3 linked regions of the Drosophila melanogaster genome follow. Changing the gene in region 2 together with the main gene of any one other region gives a genetic interaction. Each region holds a gene or a part of one and is shown on either strand. Other genes may lie near its edges.

The links.
Region 1: of tws (region 2) and gwl, changing one suppresses a phenotype caused by changing the other (phenotypic suppression), as found in Drosophila melanogaster (one study listed by BioGRID).
Region 3: of tws (region 2) and polo, changing one enhances a phenotype caused by changing the other (phenotypic enhancement), as found in Drosophila melanogaster (one study listed by BioGRID).

What each region holds. Positions count from the first base shown.
Region 1 is NT_033777.3:18,744,621-18,750,878, reverse strand, and holds gwl (greatwall), read right to left. Parts: upstream 4,510-6,258; 5' UTR 4,308-4,509; coding exon 4,158-4,307; intron 3,643-4,157; coding exon 2,809-3,642; intron 2,749-2,808; coding exon 2,590-2,748; intron 2,519-2,589; coding exon 2,390-2,518; intron 2,214-2,389; coding exon 1,211-2,213; intron 1,141-1,210; coding exon 875-1,140; 3' UTR 519-874; downstream 1-518. Other genes in the region: Epg5 (ectopic P-granules autophagy protein 5), read left to right, coding at 1-307; PGS1 (phosphatidylglycerophosphate synthase 1), read left to right, coding at 5,086-6,150, 6,209-6,258.
Region 2 is NT_033777.3:10,136,754-10,141,590, forward strand, and holds the start of tws (twins), read right to left. Parts: upstream 3,020-4,837; 5' UTR 2,574-3,019; intron 1-2,573. Other genes in the region: TAF1B (TATA box-binding protein-associated factor RNA polymerase I subunit B), read right to left, coding at 4,017-4,837. UniProt on the Drosophila melanogaster protein: Could perform a substrate recognition function or could be responsible for targeting the enzyme complex to the appropriate subcellular compartment.
Region 3 is NT_037436.4:20,307,640-20,313,984, reverse strand, and holds polo (polo), read right to left. Parts: upstream 4,332-6,345; 5' UTR 3,676-4,331; coding exon 3,577-3,675; intron 2,937-3,576; coding exon 2,712-2,936; intron 2,651-2,711; coding exon 1,868-2,650; intron 1,803-1,867; coding exon 1,374-1,802; intron 1,307-1,373; coding exon 1,112-1,306; 3' UTR 519-1,111; downstream 1-518. Other genes in the region: alphaSnap (alpha soluble NSF attachment protein), read right to left, coding at 101-192; SCCRO4 (squamous cell carcinoma-related oncogene 4), read right to left, coding at 5,159-5,238, 5,369-5,576, 5,638-5,891, 6,063-6,154. UniProt on the Drosophila melanogaster protein: May play a role in regulating both nuclear and cytoplasmic aspects of the mitotic cycle. Regulates localization of the augmin complex during mitosis by ensuring its location on mitotic spindles.

The DNA.
Region 1 (6,258 bases), 8.6 Mb from region 2:
GGTGTTAACTCGTTGCTTGGCTTGTGTGATCTTTTCGCTGTTTCCGGCCAATCGGGACCTTCGCATACCGTCAGAAGAGTACGAAAGTGCGCTCCGGGAGCTGTCTATGCTGCTGGCCAACAAGAAGTTCACCGACATCAAGCCCTTGATCGTTCGGGCCGTTAGCCTGCTCAAGGAATCCACATTTCCCGATATCCGGGCCGTACCTCATATGGTCTGCCGACTCATCAGCATCTTCTACGAGGAGAGCTACCTGACAACCATTCCAGAGGTCTGGGACTTTGAATTCAAGTTAATGGCCACGTAGCTTACCGACCAAGTGAAATATTCTAAACATCCTAACAGCCAGTTGTGTTATTTTCCAGGTGTTATATATCATCTAACTAGGTATAGGTTAAATAAAGTGATAAATTTTAAGCAATTTTCAAAATTGCATAAAATGTATAAAAGTGAACATTTATTTATACATACTTTTTAGCATAATACAAACATGGGGCCAAACACTGAAACTTTGTTTTAAATCTTGTAGACTATAACTTTATTTGATATACATGTCTCGAAAGTGCATACTTGAAGCTATTTGTTTAAGCGTAGTTACAATAACAAAATCGACATCAGTACCTGTATATAAACTCTTCACTGACCATGATCATCGACAATCATGACAGTAATAATCCACTAAATGTACACGAAAATATAATGATACACTTGAATGAACTTTAAACAAAATATAAATACGTAGGGCTACACGAACGATAACAGATGAACATTAAGGGTCTACTCTTAGGTATTGCTACATGAAAATATAAATAACGATAATACAGTGCTCGGTACGAGCACGCTGACACGGAGGCAGCCGGGCTCCGCTTGGCAATCATTCTTCTAGGGCAAAATTGGACAGCTGCAGGTGCTGAAGATTGTTGCGCGCATCGAAATATCCCGTATCAGTGGGATTGTCTGGTGTCGGGACAAATGGGGGCTCGGTATTGCCTATATTCTCCCAGTCGATGCAAGCAAAGTGACGCATTTGTTGCACTTCCTTTGCGGCCGGTCGCTCATTGGGATCCATGGTCAGGAGCAGTTCCACAGCCTCCATGGATTCGACGGATAATGCCTCATCACCTTCTGGCCATTCGATGTCTGTGAGGAATTGGTAACAAAAATATAGGTATAATATTTGCAAGAAAACTCTTGAAATAACAAAACTCACTCTTATTCAGAATGTTGTCAAATACTTTCTGAGGTGTCTCGTCGTTAAAGGGTGGAATGCCGGTCATGAACTCGTAGAAACAGACGCCCAGAGCCCACCAGTCGACGGCCGGACCGTGACCTTGCTTCAGCAGTAACTCCGGCGCCAGATAATCAGGTGTGCCCAAGATGCGCTCATTAGACACGCGAGCCCCGCGACGCACTGATTTCGGTGTGCGGAACGGGGTATTGATGTTAACGTTTTTCGGCGTCTTTGGTAGATTGCCGGCTCCATGATTGATAGGCGACATCGTGGGATCGTCGGACAGTTTCAGATGGTACTGAATGCCTGACATCTTATCGGCGGTCGCATGCTCCCGTTTCTTGTTCTCAATGGACAGCGGAAGAGCGAACCGAGTGGCCTTGAGCTTTCCAAGAAGACCACCATCCCGACGTGGCAACTTCTGTGAAGATACGGGCGTAGAGAAGACCACGTTGGCCACATTTGCTTCCGGACCAAGCAAATGATTTATGGGCATTTCGTCATCGGATAAAGAGCGCACCTTTAGCACACCACGGATGGGCGAGGAACGGGCCTTGCGCTTCTTGGGCGTGCTGCTGCCAATATTAAGGATTTCAATTTCCTGTGTTAGTCCGGTGTTGGTACTTCCATTGCTTGAACTGCAGCCATCGGTATCCATGCTGGACATGTTGTCGGAGCGATTGACCAAATTGATCTTTCGCTTCATGCCGCGCAGGAAGTCGGGGCGTTTAAAGTGCTTGGACAGATTCCGAAACGGCGAGTTCATGTTGATGCCACTCATCTCGTTGCCGTTGGTCACGTTATAACTGCGCGAGTAATCTGAACAGCTAAAATCCTCCTTGGATTGGCTTAGGTTGTCCACATTCTTCTCAATCGACGAAGCCGTGCTCTCGCTATTCAGATTCAAGTGGCAGCTGGAATAGTCGTCGCCCTTGCGACTGGACACCCCTGAATCCTCCGGCCCCTTTGAGATGCGATTTCGCTAAAGGGAACAGTAGAGGTAGTTATTAACTGAACTACCTACATATGTGGTATACATATCTTTTAACCTATTTAATGTTGGTTAGTTGTAAAGTTAGTTATAAAATACTAGTATTTTAATACAGAAAGGGAAACCGCACAATGGACAGACACACACACATGCACATGCCAACGCACCTCGTCGACCGATCGCCTGCGCACCATGGAAAACTCAAACGAAGCCTCGATTGCGTTATCTATCTTGGGCAAATGTTTGCCATCATTGGTGGCCATGTTGCTGCTGTCTTGCTCGGCCAGCTTGCAGCCCTTTCAGAGAATCAACCATTTATGCAAATAAATACAGAGATTACGGGTTTGGCCGATTTCCAGCCACTTACCTGACAGGGTGCCGCATCCAAGACGAATTCCACGCGCCGCTTGCTGGGGATCGCATTGCCCGCAGCAGCACCGTCCTTTGACTCCAGTGGTGGTGAGCACTTGCTCAGGTCGGCCGAGTTACAAGTGTGGAACGAACAAGACGAGCTGCTATCCTGGGGCTGAAGATTCGGAGAATGATAGATGAATAAATCCATTTTAATTGCAATATGTTTACCCACATTTACGTTTGTAGTGCAGGTATGAGTAATGGATTCATTGGCCTCCTCGGCAGAAAAGAAGGGGGAAACACCAGATATCTTGCTATCGCTCGTCTTCTCTGCATCATTGAGCGAGGTGTCGCCCTCGCTATCCGACAGCTCCATTATCAGACTATGCTTGTTGATGGCCTGCAGCAAGTGGGATGTCCCCGTGGCCACCGAGCCCATTCCGTTGTTTTGTCCACTTGAAACAGAACCGAAGTCATTCAGTTTCTTCTCTGACCCAAAAGACAGGTGCGAAGTAAGCGACAAAAGCTGGCCCGGCGTGCGGGCGTTTAAATTCGGTGAGCAGTTTATAAGGTCTGATATTTCCAGATCTCTTCGCATATCGATTTTGCTCAACCCAAAATCAGTAAGCTTCACATGGCCACTGGAGGAGAGCAACATGTTGTCCGGTTTAATATCTCTGTGGACAATTCCGTGCTGATGCAGATACTGCAGCGCCATCACCATCTCGGCCACGTAGAACCGGGCCGTGGGCTCGTCAAAATACCCAAACATGGCCAGCAGTGACTTGAGATCCCCGCCCACCATGTACTCCATCACCAGGTAGACGTAGGAGAGCGATTGCAGGGAGTAGAAGAGACTGACACAGAACTGAGAGCGGGAGAGGGCCAGGGCATTCCGCTCCGTGATTACCTGGGACACCATGTTCTTGTTGATCATCTCTGACTTGCGCATCACCTTGATGGCGAACAGCCGCTTCGAGTCGTTGTTCTTGTAGCCCAGGAAGACTTTTCCAAAGGCGCCGCGGCTGATTGGCTTAATGATGACAAAATCCTTGATAGTGGGAAGCTGTATAAGAAAGCGAATGTATCCATTACTATATAATAAAGTGACCTAAGTGGTGGTGGTAATTCTTATAGCCCAAGGCAGAACAAAGGAAAATAATATAGCTAAAGTTAGACATAGAAAAACTTCAGTTCTAGATATAAAAAATAAAAAATCTTAAAAAAGCATATGTGTATATATATAATTGGATAAAAGAAGATATATGTACATCAATAGCCAGTAAAAGGAAATGAAGAAAGGAGCTATGTAAAAAAAACAGAAGATAAATAGAACTGTAAAAATGTTTTTGAAATGGAAATCCTATATAACATCACATTTGAACGTACATATGTTTTTCGTTTTTCCTATAATACATAAACATAACCTTTTCATTAATTCTTGAACATGTACTGCCCTTTTTTAATCAATTTACATAAACACTGTGTTTAGAGGCATTTCAAATTTTCTTGATTAGCAACCGTGGCTAACTGTAAACCACCCACGTGTGGTAATCGCCAGTTTGCGATTCCTCCGCGTACCTTGGCATTCTGGGAGTGATTCTCCGGCTTGGTGGTAAGGATGTTGATCTTGTCCAGCAACTGCTCACTGTCGATCAGCGAGTGGGTCTTCTTGGGGGTTTTGTAGTCGATGTGGACATCCGATTGCGAAGTCGCATCGGCGTTTTCCATATCTTCCAGGTTTCCGACGGTCAGAGTGCGATTTTCTCGCGGTTTCGCACAATATATACAATTATCGTACAGAGATATACAATGTATAGAATTCGATATAGACCTGAATGCTATTAGCTTGTTTATTGCACAATTTTTATTTCAAACACACATTTAAAACAGCGCGTCTATTTTCTATGACCTGAACTAGAGGTGAAACTAATTCGATTCTTAGTATTATCGATGTTTCTAGAAATTTGACAACATCGATGTTATTGCAGTTTAAAATTAAACGATTTTTTAAACTAAAATTAAATATTACCAAAAAGAAATGCATATTAGTAAGATACCGGTTGAATATTTCAAGTAAATTTATTCAAATATTTCTTTATGCATATATATAAAAGTAGATATACACAAAAATGTTAAAAATGTAACAGTTAGTAACTATTGATAAATGGTTAGGCTTTTATTAATTTGATTTAAATATTATTTTTTTTTAAGAAACACATAGCAGGATCACCATATCACCATCACCATTATGAACAGTCGATAATTCCCGATAGCTATAAATTGTTATCGAATCCCAGCTCGCTTTGCAACACTTGCGTTCCACCTGGAATTTATTTACGTGCTGAAATTCGAAGTTTTTTTTGTGATAAAACAGCACTCCATGAATGAAAGTGTGTTCCGGATACAGCCAAACAGACAGTGAGCAATGCGCCATACCCTGTCATCAAATAGCAGCCGCCCAGAGTGAGGATCCGCTTGCCAATCCGTCAGAGAAATCCCCGCCAAGATGATGCCATACCTTCGCCGCCTTTTCAGCCAGGAGCTCTCTCCGGCTGCTCAGGGCGATTTTCTGGGCTGCTTGCAGCAGGCGCCCAGTGTCCTGGCCACCGGATTCCCTGGAGCACCCGCACTGGAGAGCCTAAGTTGGTTACACAACCTAGCGCCGTGCTTCCCGCTGCGAGGCGATCAAATTCAGGTCATCCACGAGCCAAAGCACTTCTACGAAACGCTGGTGCAACGAATCGGTCAGGCCAAACGCCGTATAGTGCTGGCCAGTTTGTACCTGGGCACTGGGCAACTGGAGAACGCAATGGTTCAGACGTTGCGTCACAGCCTGGAGCAACAGTCTGCCCTGAGGCTCAACGTGCTGTTGGACTTTACACGCGGCACGCGGGGAACCCTCAACTCCAAGACCATGTTGCTACCCCTGGTCCGCGACTTTGCGAGCCAGGTGCAGCTATCCCTGTACCATACGCCTGATCTGCGCGGGATGACAAAGCGACTAGCACCGCCACGGTGGAATGAGCTTCTCGGACTACAGCACATGAAGGTCTACCTGTTCGACGATGCCGTGATCATATCAGGCGCCAATCTGTCCAATGACTACTTCACCAACCGGCAGGATCGATACATACTCATTGAGGACAAACCGTTGGCGGATTTCTATGCGCAGTTCATCGAACGCGTTCAAGAGTTTAGTTTGGCAGTGGCGCCAGATGCCAGCGAGGGACTGCACCGCAACTGGCGAATACTGCCGTACGAGGGCACCAAGGAGCAGTTTATCCAGCTTGCCCGTAAACGTATTTCCGATTTAGTGCAGGAGACGTTTCAGCGGCAGGCGCGAACTAAAGAGCAGAATCCGCAGGCAGACACATGGATTTTTCCGCTGCTTGAGATGGGCCAGATCGGCATTCATCACGACAGCGTGGTGACCAAGCGGCTGCTCTCCAACTGCTTGTCTGGATCACGGCTGAAACTGGCCACCGGGTACTTCAACCTGACGCAGGAGTACATGGACACGCTCACGCACAAGTGCCTGGCCCAATGCAGCATACTGATGGCTCATCCAAATGTGAGTGGCTATCAGTAATTAGTTGACCAATAGTAACCCGATTTAATTCATTTTCCAGGCAAACGGCTTTCAGGGTGCCAAAGGACCAGCGGGCGGAATTCCGGCTGC
Region 2 (4,837 bases):
TAAAAATCTTGCCATTTCTTCGGCATGGGAAGTACAGTGGGTACTAAGTGACGTGAACAACAAGAAATTTATATGGATAAATACGTCTGAAGCATAGTTTTGACATCCTTAAAAAAATATTACGCATACGTACTGTATAACATTCTTTTAAAGTTACAAAATTATGCTTAATGTGCCATTGTTTAATAGCAAACAGTTCCATTTTACTAAATGTTGCCTTACTAAGCAACATATTGCAAAATATTAAGTATACGCCTTGTCTAACACTTAACAATTTGTTATAGTATGCATTTGCAACATAATTATTTAGTTATTTGGATCGTTTACTTTTTTTTTAGAAATATATTTCTAATATTATACCCCATATTTACTGTTCTGTCATAGGTGTCACTGATGTTTAAAAATACACTACCCGAACACTAGAGATGCAAAAATAAACAAACGAAATGAAAGGTCTATTAAATGTGTGTGGCATGTGAATGGCTGCAGGGACAAGCGCCAGCTTTTCTTTTCCTCCGAAACGCAGCAGAATAACAAACACAAACGGCAAAAAAGCAAAACAATAGCAAACAAATACCGAATTTTTCAAGAAAATAATCATGGCGAGATTTTTGTTGTTCACTCTGCTGTTTTCGGGAAATGACAAAGACAGGCAACGGAAGCGCCGAAAAGGAACTCAAAAATAAAATTAGACAAATACACAATTTTTTTTTGCAGATTTTCATGCATACTACACTGGCATTACGCATTACGCAAATGAAGGTGAAATTTGAAAAAAAAAAACAAAATACTAAAAACATACAAATGCAAACAAATTAATGATTTATATTCGTGTATAACAAACTTAAATATTCAAGTTCAAAATAAAGTGTCTGAAAGCAAGTTTAATTATGACTAAAATACTTTTTTTCTGCCTACAGGAACCACGGATTTACAGATGCTATAAATAAGTGTAGCAACAGTTTTAGAGCCACCTAACCACGTGCCGCACGAGACTCATTTGGATCCCGATCCCAATCCCAATTCCCCTTCCCCAATCCCTGGCACACTCATCATCCAAAGTCCAGCCAGGTAGACGCCATTCGTCTGCCGCCGAATCTTTGCTGCCTTGATTATTTTCGGATCTGTCAACCCTTCTCGCCTGCTTTTCCTAATTTTCCTTTAATGAAAGGGGGTGGAAGATGGTTTGAAGGAGGGGGGGGTGGGGGTGTGCACAGTTATACCTGGCATTGTTTATATTTAGAATTTCATATGCTCCCGCTTGCCGAACTGTCCATAATATGTCCATCAAAGTGTCTTTTCAGTTTGACATCCATTGGCGGCAGCAGAGTGCCTTACTTTTTGTATCTTTTTGGGGAGGTAAGAGGGTGGTATTGATAAACATTTCGACGGACAGACGTGATTACTACCATATGTCCGACCAGATCCGTGGCAAGCAATATTGTGCTTATCAAACTGTTTCGGCTCATCCAATTAATACACTTCACGGCCCCCGAACTCCACCCCACTGCACTCGTGGCTGGCAGATATAATGAAACTAATTAGCATTTGACAAACACCAATCTCATATTATATTCCTCATATACAGTGGGCGTTAGTTTGTACAAAAGCAAACGCTTCACTGATGAAATTTCCAGAAATTTTGAGTGCAATATCACATGAAAACTTGTTGATATTCTGTAAATTACTCCATGAAATAAGTATACACTTGGGGTTGTAGGTAAATTGCTATAGAACCAGGCGCTGTTTTATCTATCATTAAAACCTGCTCTTGACCCTATGGACTTCATTTTGTTACCACCTTTGTATTAACAAGTAAACAAAGTATGGCTGTGTTGATTATCAAATCGAATAGGTTAATAAAAATAACTACATTTTTGATCTTTAGTCCACTACTGGGGTAGACCACTGTACCAACAAAGAATCCGCAAAAACAGGACCCAATTGGCTAAGGCAAACTTCAGTTGGGAAAACAAATTGTAAGCCCACAAATAATGATTTAGTCACATGGAATCGAAATCAAGATAAATGCGCGTGCTATATGGTTGTTTTCTTATTTTTTTTTCGCTTTGAGCAATTTGTTCGATTTGCTAATGCGAACAGCTTAGGCAAATATTTTGGCATAAAAGTCAGCAAGTGACAAAATAGTAGCTATTAATTGTTTGTAAGTCGGCTCGCTAAACATGGCCAGTGCGAGTCAATAGTTGTTTATTGTTTGGCTCACAGCGAAACAAAGCGGCCTGAAAATGTTGTTAACCTCAAAAACCGCCAAGAACGTCAGCCAGATCGGTCGGTATTATAGCGGTGGGAGGAGGAAGAGGAGGATGAGGGGGGGGGGGTGGCTCAGCCTACAGAAACTAGAGAATCAAATGCTATGGTAAAGCATAAGCCCCCGACCCCCCGCAAAAGGTTGACGTAACAGCTAGGCAGCTAAACTCTTGAGAAATGGAAGCACCACTATACTTTCGGCGGTATTGAAACAGCTGTCTTTCCATAATCGTAGCATTTGAATGGTAACCACACGCGCGCATATTAATATGAAAACATTTTCAAAAACCGAAAAACCAACTCACCAGCAGACTTCTAAAACAACAGATATCCAACAAATCACAGACACAACAGTGCTATTTTAATTGACAGTCTTTAGATATCTCATAATTTGCCATGCACTCGGCTATTTTTAAACTCTGATTTTGAATTTATTTTTGGTTCCTATTTCTGTGGCCTCCACACTTTCATCACTTTCAGATCGGTTCTCTTCAAGTCGCGCGCTGCAACGGTTAAAATTCCTGTCCACACATCCGATTCCACTGCACTTCTTGGGCACAGGCACTTTGGTTTCTGGTTATCACACTGCGCTGGACGGGCAAAGAGGCGTACAAAGGCACAATGGGAACTAATTTAAATTGAATTCGAACTCAGTGCTCGCGGCCAGTGGAAAAGTGGAAAATAGGGAAACTCAAACCGCAGCAGGGCAATAAGGCGAAACAGTCAGCGACGACGTTAAAATTAGCACTGAAACGCGCCGTGCGAATGCGCGCCTATGATTTCTTTACCCACTCTCACTGCTCCCAAGCGGAGGTGGCCTCTTTTCTAGCTAGATATAGCTATAAATATAGGTAAGATCACAAGAATATCGAAAAAAAGCATAAGATAATTCTTATCACCTCTTTCGCCGGATTTTTGAAGTAGGATCATCAGAGATAACTGCTTTATATGAAACAAAGCTAGTAAGACATTAAAAGGAAATCGCTCCTATGAGAGCGTTGACAACGTTAAACTTAAAGCAAATATAAACTATCACAATTGAACACCCTTTAAATTGTTATATATGTAAGTGATTTTTTTTGGTTTATTTATTTTATTTTGTTGTTTATTTGGTATAATTACTTTATAAGTAGAACTGTTCAAAAACAAGCCAAGTGAGCTCCTCTGTTTCCCCAAGTACTCTCACGCTCTTTTTTTGCTCTCTCCAGTTGGTGATGACCGTGGGGCCTGGCGCTCTCTTTTGAAGAAGATTTTTGTAAACAAAACCGCGACACGCATTGTTGCTGCTAATGTGATTGTTGTTGTTCTGATAAACGCTAATTTGCCTATTGATATTGATGTTAATGTGCCTTTGCTCACACAGTCGCGGCCAAGGAGATAACACTGCCCCTTAATACATAGATCGTTTCAATCTAAAATGGATGCAAATTTAACATTTGGGCATAGGAAAACGTATGGGTAGACAACGAATATTTTTGTTAAATGAATTGATCACTTTCGATAAGTGTGTAAATCATAAATTCCTGAACTTAAGCTATTGACGTAGTGGGTGTGTCATGTTTGTACTTTGGTAACTGCTTAACACACAGATTTATTTGCATCATAATCACTGTTGAAAGATTTCTACAGGTTATATACACAAAAAGAAAATCTATCATTTGAGGTAGAGCACTACGTAGAAGAATATTATATTTTATACAGATGGCATCGTTGTTTGTTAATTCAAAACTTTTAATACTTCTAATATACTACCATAACTCCTTGTACGTCCTGGCGAGGGTTCGGATGTCCTTCTCTTGAGTATTGTGTTGAATACACAGATAGTTCCTATGATTGCTCCAGTCCCTGATGCTGTGATGGTACATCACTTCCACAATGAGCAGTTCCTCGTAGAGCTCCTCCCAGACTATGCCTATTGTGCTGGCACACGTCTCCAAGAGCCAACGGAAGGAACAGGGGAACAACTGACGCAGTTCATGCTTGTCATGCCTCCGAATTCTTTTCATATAGCCGTGTAGAAGCCAGCAATCAAAATTTGACACTTGCAATAACAGCGTCTCAGGGCTTGGCGGCTCATCATTGATATCGCTCGCTACTTGGTCTGATGCTCTATCAGAACCTTCCGGATTCAAAATTTTTTCCAGATTGCGACGGGGCAGATCTAGAGGGATGTTTAATGGATCCATGGTCCCTTCCTCGAAGGTTTGCAGTGAGCTAAGGCTGTCAAGTGGTATCTCGTTATCGTTGAGTTTGAGAAGAAAGCTGGGCGTTTCGGTAACATCCCAAAACGGATTATTTATCTCAAGTTGCACACGCCTTGCGTCGCGCATTGTTATACGTTTCAAATATCGGGCTCCATAGGTTCCAGTGGGCTGTGTGAACCGAAAGTCCGGCCGTTTCTCCTTACGCTTTAGCTCGCTTATCCACGTCTCGGTTTTAATTTCAGTGTTGGCGCGGTATTCTCGACCGTCACCTCGGATTATTGTTAGTGGGCGGAATATGCCCACGTTTTGGATGTCCTCCTGGCAGGCAAGCTCCTCTACTCGTAGTTTAAGGCCATGTTGGGACA
Region 3 (6,345 bases), on a different chromosome or scaffold from region 2:
CAGTACCTTGTGGGGTTGTGGAGATGCTAGGCTAGACCAGACACAGCTCCATTTCCCCACTCCCACAGAAATTGCGAAACTTCTTTGATTTGATACGCACCCGAACAGCGATCCCAGAAAGCCCTTCTGCTGGGTCAACTTCTTCTCCGCCTCGGCCATCAGCTGGAGCGCCTTCTGTTCGTTGTCACCCATGTCGAGGATTTATGTCCGCCTCGGCACTAATTGCATCTAAGTTTAAGACTTGTTCGGCTTTTCAGCGAGTGTGTGTACGTATTGGGATCTTTTTTCGAGAAAATAAAATCAATATGCTGACTTGGTGTGACCGCAGAAGTGGTGCCAGTGTTACCATCTCACAGCATTCTCAAATAACTCATGCCAGTGTTGTGAAATGCAAGGGCTGTAACGTTTGTTCGTTCAAAATAATTCTCAGCCGCCTGAATGCGTCACCTACAGTCTGGCAGGTGCATTTTAAGAACAGCTGCCCTAAACGTTGCAAACAATCTTTTTTCAGATATTTTATTAAATTTTATATATATTCGCTTTTAGTTCAAAAGCATTTACATATTGTATCCTATAGCTACAGATATTTCTGGCCAAAGTTGAATATACTTGTACACTTAAACACTTTGCAGCAGTATTGTAACTTATGTATTATTTTAAATGGCGCTATAGCGCACTACGAACGCACAATATTACACTATTACTTTTATAATGTATCCAGCATTAAAATTTTGTTATCAGTCACCTCGGTGAATATAGGCATTTCGAAACACGTTTGCTTAGTTTAAACATTTAATTTGATCTCTTTAAAATGCATTAAGTGATCGGATCGTGTACGAAAACCATTAAACAGATATATTAAATTACTTTTGAGGGAGGCCCAACACTGACGATGAATATAACTTAAGCAGTATTTTCGATATGAAGGGGAAGGGGCAAAAACAAATAAATTCTATAAACATCGAACAAATCAATTTGAACGGGAACTACAATTTTAAAAGATGATGGGAGAGGAGGATACTTTCTGGGCTATAAATGAAGTTGGCCAGGGCATTCGTGAATTACGTTAAACTAACATTCGGCCTTATAATGATAGTTGGGCTGGCTACGCTTATGTGAACATCTTCTCCAGCATTTTCCTAAGTTTCTCCTGGGCATATCGGATCTTCTGGTACAAGTCTTTAGACACGCCGTTCTCCACAATGGTCGAAAATCGGTAGGTGCGGAAGTTCTTCTCCTGGTCCATATAGGTTATAGCACTCATGCGCGGGCAGAGGATGAGCTTCATGTGATCTGAGAAGTTTAGCTAAGAAGGATAGATAGTTCATTAGGACCAGATGTACATGATGCCGATGCTGTACAATTATACAAACCTGCACAGAACCGTTGGTCAAATGCATAACTACGGCACATGTTGTACGGAACCAGGAGTGTAAATGGGGCATACGCGAGATTTGATCGCTCTCAATGTTCACATTGTTGGCACCTGCCTTCACCAGGTGCTCGATCATGTAGCGCTTAAAGTACGACAGCAGCTTCATCTTCTTGTCAAGCGACTTGCAGTAATCCGTGGTGGTCATGTACGTCTCCTTGCCATCCTTGTCGATGAAGTGTACGTTGATCTGATTCGGCAGCAGGATCAGCTTTGTGGTGTCGTTGAACATCACGCCGATGCCCTCATCGCACAGCTGGTAACCAAATCCGTACTTGTCGCTGTAGTCAACCCACTTGGATATCCAGAAGAGCGGCTGCGCTGCAGGATCTGTGTTCTCGTCGCCCAGATTGCCTTGCAGAATTCGCGGCTAAAGAAGTGAAGAGGTATAAGAGTCTTAAATTATTTAACTAATATAGAGCAAAAGGTACTTACCTTTCCGTTGATAAGATTAGTGAGCTGCTGGTACAGGCTCTCGATATCGCTGCGATAGTCCTCGCTGTGGCGGCACACCTGCGCTGACGCGGTAATGGCGTCGTGCAGATTGGCCTTGAGGAAGGTCGACTCCAGACGAGTGTCGTCGGGCCTGATGCCGTTCATCTCCATCAGTGGCTTGCGGTGCATCGAATCCTCGATGGTGTCGTTGCTGCCGATACGCGGCGCCATTGTCAGACAAGAGCTGGGCAAGAACATGGGCACCTTTGAGCCCTTGAGGAACTCAAAGTTCAGCAGCTGACCAATTGCCGGGCGGCTCTCCGGATTTGGCTGCAGCATGGCGATGACCATATCCGCCGCCGGTTTCCTTAAGTAGCTGGGCACGCGGTACTCGCACTTCTTGATTTTCGAGTACGTATCCTTCAGAGTCTTGGTTTCGAACGGCGGCTGGCCCACAAGCAGTGTGTACATGACGCAGCCAATCGACCAGATGTCCACCTCGAAGGAGTGGCCCTTCTTGGTGAGGATCTCCGGGGCTATATAGTTGGGCGTTCCGCATAAGGTCTTTTTTCGCTCGCCCTCATACTCAATGCGCGTGGCCAACCCGAAATCCCCGATCTTCACGTGCAACAAATCGTTGAGGAAGAGATTGCCCAGCTTCAGATCTCGATGGATAATGCGGTTATCGTGCAAGTACTTAACGCCCTGGATTATCTGGTAAATGTAGTAGCGGCATTCGAACTCCGTAATGCTTTTCCTACGTTTGTGCAGCTCCATCATGGACTGTAAGTCGGAGAGGTAAGTGTCATGGTGGCATATTGCAGAGATGTTCTATTAAACTCACTCTTTTCTTGCACAGCTCCAGCACAATGTAGATATTCTGCGAATCTTCAAAGTAGTTGTGAAACTTGACAATGTTCGGATGGTTAAGGCTGCGGTGAATAGTTATCTCCTGGGCGGTCTTCTCCTTCTGATTGTGTTTGATCATCAGCTTCTTGGATACGATCTTGCCGGCGAAGACGTCGTCGGTTTCCACATCGATGATCTCGTAACATTTTGCAAACCCGCCCTGCATAAAGCATATTAATTTTGTATTTAAAAACATTATACAAAAACATAACCTTATACTGTATTAAAAACAGATCTATGATAAAACTTTGCATATAGGTATTTTCAAGTAAATGGCGTTTAATAAACGTATTGATGTCTATTTTACAAACATATTCTGTATAAACTTTTTATCCATATTGGTTGGCAACATAAAATTAGTAATTTATATTTAACAATCACATGTTTAGTACCTTTGCTCCAATCTGCGGAGCCCCTTCCAAGAAAATATTTATATGCCAATAGCACAACGAGGAAATTGTTGGTTCAACTAAGTTGCAACAGTTCCTTTTCTTGTCTATGTAAATTCGAAGAAGCCGCGCCAAAAAAAAAAACTGAACAAGCAGCCAACTGCATGAACACACACACACAGGCTCGTACAAGATTCCCACACACAGGCTCTCTTTTTCTCTCCTGCTCTTAAAGGAGAGAGCTACAAAAACAACAAGGGAATGCTCATCAGCAAGGAAAACGGAACGAAAACCGGGATGTGGAAATGGATATGTGTGTATGCGGGTGCGTGCATGTGTGCGTGTAGGTAAATGTGTGATCCCTTCGACTGATCTGATCCCGGGCATCTGCAAATCCGCATCCGGACTCACCTTGCCGAAGAACCGCATGCGCTTGTAGGTTTTCCGCTGGTTGATGTCGACGAGGCGATCCGGAATATCCGTGCTCTTATCCTCGGGCTTCGCGGCCATCTTGCTCTCCTTTCTTCTTTACTACGGACTGCCCCTTTTGCGTTTGCGTTCGCCTGGAGTTTTGCGGCGATACTCCTCGTTCTGAGCCTATAATTCCACCGGCGATCGGCTGAAAGTGCCTCGGAAACGGAGATCAGATCCACACGGTTGACAAGAGAAGCGGCGATCAAATCTCGGTTTTGCCCATCGAATGCACGAAAACCAAGCACAAAGCGGAGAACGCGCCGAAACCGTTCGATTTTTTAAATGCCAAAATGAATTGGACGTGAAGCGTCAGCTGAATTGGTGTGCCCGTTTCGCTGGCTATCGCACACTTTCTGGTATGTATCGCGGTATTTTGTTGAGTGTTGAACAACAAATTCTATGGCCGTTACCCTTTTGAATTTACCTACTGGCGTTTACTCTGTTCGAATTGAGCGCAATATTTTTTCCTATTGCTCTGCGCAACACTGTGTTTAACCGCTATTTATTTGAAAATCTACAAAAACTAACGTTACATTTTTGAAATTTCAAAAGGGTTTCATAAATTGAGTTTACTAAACAGTCAACGGTCAACTTTATATTGTAGAGCCCCTTTTCTAATTTGAATTGCTGCAAACGTTTTCTGAGTAAAAATACTGCCACCTTGTAATTGCAGGTTTCGATCCTGATTTGTGTTAAAAAGAAATTATTAGAAACAGCTATCTCAAAGCCTTCTATGTTTTTCAGTTAAACTTTCAAATAACGGTTAAAAATAATTTTGATAAAAAAAAAACAACACTAAAACACACACAAGTAAATAGAAAAAATAATGTGTTTACTTAATAACTTTATTAAATAATCCCCAGATTTTGTTTTTCTACATTGATTTAATAACGACTACGAATACCCCACTATTGGTGTAGATTTCCGTTTAGATTTTGACTATGCCTGCTGATATCTCGAAGGGGTCGCTTGGGTTGGAGGATTGTATGTTCTAGAATAGGTCTATTTGGGGTCTCTTGGTTATTGCCATCGTTTCGTTCTCTGGGATTACTCCTTACAAGCTGCCCCGTTTTGGCTCTTGTTGCTGTTCTGATTTTAATGTTTTGTTTTTGTTTGCGAAAGAGGCCTTATAAGTAGAAAAATGTGGTTTTAGTTCTTAGTTGTCGTCGTTAATACATAAATTATTACATTAAATATATTATCAATAGTTTAGTTTCATAGTTGGTTGCTTTGCCAGTGTACGCAGTCTCTCCAAAATGCCTTGTGTTTCCGTGTGGGTGAGTGTGTGCTTGTGTGTTTTAGGCCGAAGAAGTGGCTGGTGGATCTGATCGTGGATCTGAGTGTGGGTGTGGGTGTCAGTGAGTGTCCTGCGGTTATGTCTTAAATTTTCGCCGATCTATCTTATCAGCATTCCCATCCCATCGCATCGCATCCCATCTCCGACTCAGTCTCCGCGAACTCCTCTCCGCACTGAGCTCCCAAAGTTGAACTAGAAATAGGCGACTCGATACAGCTTTTCTCAGCTAGATCCGGTTGTGGAGGTGACCTGACTCCGCTGCAGGCGCAGCCATTCAACAAACTCATCCAGCATGACGGGCCCTGCAAAAAGATGGGGGTAACTAAATGCTCCGTTTCAAGTTCTTATTTTAACTTATTTATCAGCTTCTTTTAATACGGTTGCGAAATACATAGTTCAGTTTAGTTTAGTTAGCTCCTTTGTGTTACTTACAAGCTCCGTCGATATCGTAGTTTGATAGATCAATGCTAATGGTGCGCGAGAACTCGAGAATATTACACCACTGATCTTTGTTGATCGCCTTGTACTTTGATTGCTCTAGAAACTGTGCGAACTGTGGATACAGAGGCCAATGTTTGCCCAAAAGTAGTTGAAGCATGGCTTTGGCAGTGAGTATATCCATACACCGTTGGTCCGAGTCCTGCGGAATATGCAGAGCCTTATTAAACGCAGCTCATTGTTTATTCAAATGGATTACTGACCTTGGCAAAGTCGTAGGCGTATCTGTAGATGCTTTTAAAGGAGTTGGGATCGTTGAGTATGCTGCGCAGATAGTCCAATTTCACAACCATTTTCGCTGCCGAATCGCAGTCGAGTTCTGTGAGGCCCTTTAGCCACTCCTGCTGGCTGAAGAAGCCCATCTGGGTGGCGCCCATTTTGTAGGCCAGCACCAGCATCACAATATTCTCGGGCTCCACGCCGATATCCTCGCAGAATTTTTCCATGCCATCGGGACCTGAAGAATCAGTTTGTTACATAAGTATTTCGAAGGGCCAATAAGAAATAAATAAGCAATTTCTTTATATACCCAGAATTTGGTATGCCTGAGCGATTTAAGAAGATTGCCGATATCTTTATATTGCACATATTCAAATAACATAAAACACTGCAGTGTCATCCAACTCACCCAATGTCTCCGGTTCATCTGGTGTTGTGTACTCCTGGAACCAGGCCATGCAACGCTTTTGACTGAAGCCATCTTCCAATCTGATATGGCGTCTGTGGATAGAAACAACAGGTTTTTTACTTGAGCAATTGGATGTCGTTCGATGATTCAATCAAATTTACACACTCTGCCATCCGAATTGCATGGAATTCGCCTTCACCACGTATAGACCAGAGTTTTAATCGAATCGAATCGAATCTGTCGCTAATGCCGTGTGGCCTCTTTTGTTTATTCTATTCTATTC